Linked DNA regions of Nothobranchius furzeri. The protein of the gene in region 1 purifies or fractionates together with the protein of each later gene. This does not show direct contact. Links are inferred from orthologs where the notes say so. Each region holds a gene or a part of one and is shown on either strand. Other genes may lie near its edges. The genes, in order: klhl6 and nudcd3.

The links.
Region 2: the proteins of klhl6 (region 1) and nudcd3 purify together in Homo sapiens (affinity purification with mass spectrometry; 3 studies listed by BioGRID and IntAct, counting the BioPlex papers as one, with this or other methods). This does not show direct contact. The link is inferred for Nothobranchius furzeri from reciprocal best matches to the Homo sapiens genes KLHL6 and NUDCD3.

Annotation. Positions count from the first base shown.
Region 1 is NC_091754.1:23,547,419-23,551,698, forward strand, and holds the start of klhl6 (kelch-like protein 6), read right to left. Parts: upstream 2,878-4,280; 5' UTR 2,705-2,877; coding exon 2,448-2,704; intron 2,373-2,447; coding exon 2,207-2,372; intron 1-2,206. UniProt on the Homo sapiens protein: Involved in B-lymphocyte antigen receptor signaling and germinal center formation.
Region 2 is NC_091746.1:39,657,588-39,660,635, reverse strand, and holds the end of nudcd3 (nudC domain-containing protein 3), read right to left. Parts: intron 2,451-3,048; coding exon 2,318-2,450; intron 2,238-2,317; coding exon 2,094-2,237; intron 2,014-2,093; coding exon 1,825-2,013; intron 1,440-1,824; coding exon 1,329-1,439; 3' UTR 621-1,328; downstream 1-620.

The DNA.
Region 1 (4,280 bases):
TTTTATCTTGAGAGGCGTTATAGAAATGATACTTTCTTCTTCTTCTTCAAAGCTTTTTCTGTGTTTTAAAAAGAACTGAAAGATGGAATTCCTGTTCCTTTTCTTCAGATATCCTCGTCATCACCACTTTGTCAGCCATAAACCACGGATCATCTCACTGGACCACATCTCCCCGCTCAACCTGACCGACCCGCTCTCAGCTACTCACCCTGCACTCACCCTCGCTCATCTGGATTCCCCTCTCGAGCTCGACCCTCAACTCAGGCCTGACCACCCTCCTCGTCTTCCACTAATCCCCGATCAACCTCCACACTTCCACCTCACTCGGACCCCCGCCTTACCTTGACAGCGCTCCTTCAGTTACCCTTTTTCTAATAAATATTGTTTATTACTTTCATCCAGTCTCCACGTATGGTTCTGAATGTCCTGGGTCAGGAAACTAAACCAGAACATGACATGAAAAGCTCAACAAGTTACATTCAGCAGAGATTTACTTTTCTGTGAAGATGAAAAAGAAGCTGCATTATTAGGAGTTTACATTTATATCAGTAGATATTGAGTGGCTTTATTTAATTTTTGAGGAATTAGTTTTAACTGTTAAGTGAAAAAGAGGAAGAAAAATCGTGTTCAGACTCAATTTCATGACTGTAAACTATGCATGGAAAATGTAAATCGGCATCAATATCGGTATCGGTCGATGTTGGTCATTTTTTAACATATCGGTATTGGTCCAATAAATAAAACCTGGCTGATGTTAACAGATATTTTATCCATCTCATCTCCATTTGTTTGCCTGCTTCAGAGGGCGAGGGGGGTGATGTGTAATTGTTTAGTCATGTGAACAGTGAATGAAATCATCTCAGGACTGTAAATGTGTGTGGTGTGTGTGCATAACGTAAATTCAGCTTTAATAATTTTCATTTTATACAAAATCTGCTGATTTTAGAATCATTAATGTCAGTATCGGTTATCGGCCATAGCAGTGATCGTAATATCGGACATCGGTATCAAAATTTCATATCGTTGCATCACTACTGTAAACATTAAATGAACTTACAGACTGAGCTGTAAACAACATCCAGCTGTTATTTAAAGACAGATGTTTTTTTATTTTATCATTAAAAAGTGTTTTTAATTGATTCATAATGAAGAATATTTTCATGACCTCATCTAAATAGTTCATGCGCTGAGATTCACATTTGCTTTAAGGTGGTGTGTACATTTGTACTTTTGAAATCATGCTTGTTTTTATTACTTCTATTGGTCCTAAAACAAAAACCTTGTGTGTTACCTGAAAATCAGTTTCTAGTTTTAAACATCACTGATAAAATGTTCAAATTGACCAAGTTGTCAAATTTCAGAATATTTGATTGAATAAAGAAATGATTAGTTAGTTATTAGTGAGATCCTCGGGGCTTTCTTTTATATTAAAAAGGAGATGTGTGTTAGTTTTATATGCGTTGTCCCAATAATAAACAAATAGAGGAGTGTAGAAAACGCTAAAAAGTTTTTACTTCAGTTAGAAGTACTTTTGCATAATTTCTATTTACATATTTTAAGTCACATATTCAGTGAAGTTTATGATCCAACACTGACTCCTGAGAATTTAGCTTCATGACTTTCCCCAAAGGGATGTTGTCTGGATGCTGGTGTAAACCGAGATAAAAGGCTCTAAAATAAAACGCTGAGTTCCTTCTTGTTGATTAAGAAACAGCACAGCTGTTCATCTTCAGGATCCAACAAACAAACATCTCTGCAGAAACAGAAGCTCAAGCAGACGAACACCTGACTCGTCCGTTGTGTGTCACAGCTGTAAGTTAGGCCTCTATGGAAAACTGATCCTGAGTGTAAACAACTAGCCGTCTTTCACTTCCCTCTTAGAGTAATTTACTTCCACATCGCTGCATGTTTGTTCCTCTAAATAGATTAAAAATAAATGTGAAGTGAAAAAATATTAAATAAAAAAAGTTTAATTCAAATTCATGAGAAAAGTTTAACTTTTGTGATTTAGCTGCAGATGGATGATTATGATAAGTTTAATTCTATCAGTCTGACTGGAAATAACACAACTGTTTGCTAAAACAACGTTTTCAGTTTTCTGGATGCTAAACGAGAAAAGATTAGTGTGGAAAAAGTGCTCAGAGTAGACAGGAAACTCTGCAAAGTTCAGCAAAGTAAACGTGTGTGAGGTTTTCGGCTGTTTTACCTGAAACTGATTGGCGGCCTCGAGAATTTTCTGGACGTTTGAGTGTGTGAGGAGCGCTCGGCTGGTGTACGTGTACTCCAAGAGAGAGTGCATCGTCCCGCTGTCCAACCCTTTCATCTCCACACGCTTCTCATGGCTTTCCCTTAGGCCGCTGCAGAACATGGCCCTGTAAGGAAATGTATCATTAAAATATAAAAAGCAGATAAATTCCAACACAGTGGTAAAAAGTGGGAATGTTTACCTGAAATATTGACTGGCGGCAGCGAGAATGGCTCTGTGGCAGGGGAAGTCGTGTCCCTGAACACTCAGGGTCACGTCGGTCAGCTCTCCGTTCACTCTCATGGTCTCCATCCCTCTCTGCAGCTCCACTGGTAGACCGCCATCCTGCCAGCAAAGCTCGCCGGCGCCTGTTGCATTTTCCTTCTCCTCACTCAGACCGGACTCATCTCCGAGAGACGACAAGGGACAGTCTGTTGTCCTCTCCAGCGAGTCACTCATGTTTACAAAAACTAGTTCACAAGCTTAGTTTCCACTGGAGGAAAGCAGGCCGCTGCTTCAGACGCACCTGCAGCGGCACCGAGACAGAAAACAACTCTGTGGTTCACACTCACAGCAGATCTGAGGCTTTGAAATGAGGATTTGTTTTTTTCCCTCGTCATACTTCCTATTCCTGTTCTGAGGACTATGCTTAACTGAAGCAATGCTTGTTTCTTAACACTTCCTCCTCTTGTGCTGAGTGAATTTCCCCTAAGTTAACACTATTTTCCTCTTTTCTGAGAAACGCTGATGCCATGTCTCCTGCAGCAGACCTCAGCTAAGTGAGATAGCAGTAAACACAACCACTTGACAGCGTAACCCAGACGGAATGGATGCGTTTTATCTCGCGTTGTTAACAACCTCTTTTGTTCAAGTGTAACTTCACTATGTTCAAAGCTGAGAAGCAGGCTGACTCGCTGGAGGCAAACTGTTTACTCCTCTAGGTGATCTCCTGATGTTGAACATTTGAGCAAAAATCTCAGTTCTTTAAAGTTATTTTGACCTGTCGGTTCAGAGCTGGGCTGCCTGTGTCTGTGTGGAGCAGGTTTAAGGTTCAGGTTCTCTGAAATAGTGTCAGTTTGATGGATTTATCCATCAAAATGGTGACATTGTATCTAAAACTGTGTAGTCCATTGCACTTTGTTATGATATTTTCCACAAAACTGCTAAAATGTCATGGTAAGATGACTTTTTTGTGATTTTTATGTAAGATTATTTTAAATAAAAGGTGCAAAATAGAATAAAAATTTGTATTAGTATTTTAAGTCTTGGCTGTATTTTAAAGCTGCTATAGCAAATTTAGAAAACTAATAGGTTAAAATATTTTTCATGCCTTTTACCAACATCCTAACATAGTATAGCTATAAATATATTGTGGAGATTAAAAATAAAACAAAAAAAGAATAAAGTGGTTCTCTCTCTAAAAACCTCAATAACACGTTTCGAACCAAAAGCAACTATTGGACCATCCGGTTGTCAGTCTTGTAAAACTACCCTGGGTCCTCCATTCATCACACACTCACGTATTTAGCAGCAGAACACCACTGGCGTGAGAAGTTCTCTGCTCAGTCATATCAGAGAAGGAGAAACAGCCGGCTGCTACCACTTCAACTTTAGGACAAGCTACCAGAGTCCCAAAAAATAAAACACCATTTTAAGCCATAAACAACAAAAGAGGTTTGGACCAAGAAAACTGCGTCTGGTGTTTAGCACTGCGTCGTTTCGTCTGGCATCGTGGGTTTCTGGTTCTGGCAAAGGCGTTTCAGCGAAGATGTGTTCAAAGCCTAGCCAGATTTAAATTCTGCAATTATAATTTCAGTAGCTGCACAATTAAAACAAATAAAAAAGATCAACATTTTAAAATATGCTACTTCACTCATAGGTGGAGATAAATGTCTTGTATATATCTAAATTAATCCATGTTATGACCTGGCTCGTTGGGCTATAACAGAAGGAGAGACACACCATGTGAAAGTCAATAAAATACAACTTATTTCATTGAGATACACCTGAAGTAACCTGTAAACAGCAAGAAGGT
Region 2 (3,048 bases), on another chromosome or scaffold:
GGTTGTCCAGTAATAAGAAGGTTGCAGGTTCAATCCCGGCTCCAACCAGAGAATTCTGCTGTTGTGTCCTTGGGCAAGACACTTAACCCACCTTGCCTGCAGGTGGTGGTCGGAGGGACCGGCAGTGGCGCCAGCATTCGGCAGGCCTCGTCTTTGTCAGTGCACCAAGGGCATCCATCCGTGGCAACATCATAGCTCATCACCACTAGCGTGTGAATGACTTATTGTATTGTAAAGCACCTTGGGGGGTTGTAGAATCCTAAGAAGGTGCTATACAAATACTGGCCATTTATCATAACTCTAGACTACCCAACATTAAGCCATGTTGTTCATTCCACATGATCCTTACAATAACCTCATTAGGTTAGAAAAACAAATTTGATTTTTACTGCCTTTAAAAAAACTCTGGGGCTATAAACATATGGAAGTTGCACGCACCTTTACTAAAGAAAAGTGTATGATCTATTGATTCGTGGCTTTATTAATCACTAACAAATTTAAACTCACTGGTCTTTAAAATGCCACCATCGCAGCACAGGATGACTATTTATTATTCTGTGGTTCATAAGATTAAAACATGTTAAAATCTGGGTTTTAGTATGATGTAGTGAGAGTGGATGTGACAGGATGAGTCTTTATTCTCGTCTCAGAAGGCATCACATCATGGTCAAACACTCGTTTTGATAGAGCAGGTTTTGTTCAGACTCTAGAAAACATGATACAAAGACTCTTCATCATCAGCATGACAATAAATCACTTTTATCGTCTAACAGAATCTCGTTTCCCCAGAGTCAAAAGTCCAGTAGTAAATTTCATCTAACTGCTTTTGTATCAGCATCAATAACAAAGTAAAAAAAGAGGTTTAAATAGTTGAACAGGGTTTGTGTCTAACATGAAATAAAAAGAAAATGTCATCCACACAAACAGCAGCTGAGACTGCTTCCCTCTGATGCACGGGTCCGTTTTCTCTGCAGCCACTGTTTACTTAGACTAACGTTCAGATGTAGTTTTGGTGAATTTCAGTAACTTTGGTTGTTTTTTTTCTATAAACTGGACAGAACTAAACATTTGAATGATCATGAACACAAATAAAGAACAAATCTAACTCCAAAACACAGCAGAGTGCTTAAATAAAGAGTAAACAGTGAAGAAGCACGTTGATTCGTTAAGAACACCAAATCTGTGTGTGACATCACGGAGCCTCCCTCCCAGACTTCCTAACCCACGAACCTAAAGTTGCACCGTCCCAGATAAACGTGGACTTTCCAGCGCCGTGTTCCAGAAATAACCTCGGGTCAGTTCCCCTCAGGCTGAATTTGAGCTGCGACTCAGAACTGCACCGCACTGGGCGGGATGTCAAACATGGACGGGTCAAACTCCTGCCCTTTGAAAGGAGAGCCTTCAGCATCCCAGCCCTTCCTCAGCATCTCATGCACTTTCTGTGAACAAACATGAAAACAACTGGGTGAAATATGCACCAAACATTACAAACAAGCGTGTTTCCCCAGACTAAAGCAGTCCTTCTTTAGGTTTGTTTAACATCACCTGGGTTATTTTACCTGAGTGTTGCATTTCCACAGTATATTTTATATCAAATTCGATGTTAAAGTGTTTGTTTGTTTGTTTTGTAATTTTCAATGACAAGTGACTGGTTTAAAGTGTGTCTCCAGAGGTCTGTGTGGCCAGCAGGGGGCGATAATGGCTACAGAAAACAAGACCACCAGAGTAGTGGCAGCAAACCATAAAGAGAAGTAGAAAGATAACAACATAAAAGATGCTTAACCAGATGAATGTGTGTGTTTACATGATGAACTGGTTCCTCACCATTTCATGACTCTGAGGTTTTCCCTGCAGCTTCTGGTGGTAGTCAAATGTGAGTCTGTCCAGAACGGCGTGCTCTTCCTCATCCACCGAAGCCATCGTGCGCTCCCGGTTAATCTGGTTGATGTCAATCTCCTTCTCTCCTTTCAGAACAGCGTTCCACCAAACCTCAGAGGTCTTGTTGAGTGACAGCTGCAAGTCAGAAGCATCATATCTGTGTTGTATTTATAAAATCTCTTTGTATTAATCTGAATGACAGCTAGGGGACTCACCAGCACACAGCTCCCTGGCTCCAGACTCCACAGAGAGTTTTCAGTGTTGATCTTGTGAGTGAATTCTCCCTCCATCAATGTCCTCTCCTCTGCCCCGTCCCTCACACACACTCTCACACTACCGCTCTGCAGACTCACACTGACCTGAGGAAGGAGAGAGACACACCTGCAGTCAGCAGACAGACAATGGGAGGAGCTCTGGAGGTGGAACACTCCACGCTCACCTGTTTGCCCTTCACTACCGCTTTGGGCACAAACACTCTGACCTCCACGTCCGTGTAGTCCTGAGACCAGCTGTAGTTTTCTCTCACCGCTCCATTGTAGCTGTCGGAGTCCAGCTGAGACGTCTTCTTACTCCTGAAACATAGTTGTACGTGCTAGGAATCAAAGCTGAAATAAACTTAAAACATTCTTCTTCTTTTTTTTTTTACTGCATCCGACACTTTTTTGCCTGTTTTATAACTACAAAGATGATTTTAACTATAGTTTATGCATTTTAAGTAAACTGTGTAAAACACACCGAAGAAAATACTTCATGAATCAATCAAAGTTCCAGATCATGCTGTTTTAAATTTCTGCGAGCAAAGATAGAAACAATAAATGATCCAATATTACTGTCATTAATCTTAAATAGGAGTTATTTTTGTCAGCCTGAATTTAGAAGGAGATGATCTTTTATATAGTGCTTCTCAAGATAAAAATACCAAGGCACCTCACAAAAACAAAAAATTGAAGTATAAAAATATTTAAAAAATTTTTTTAAATCTGTTTAAAAGGAGAAAAGAACAAAAAATGTTAGGAAAGAGAGAAATCAATGGATCCCGGGAAAGGCGGAATAAAGAACAGAACAAGGAGAGGGTGATGAAGGTCACACAAAAGCCAGCCTGAACAGGTGAGTTTTCAGCTGCATTTTAAAGGAGACCACTGAGTCCACTGATCTCAGGCTCAGGGGACG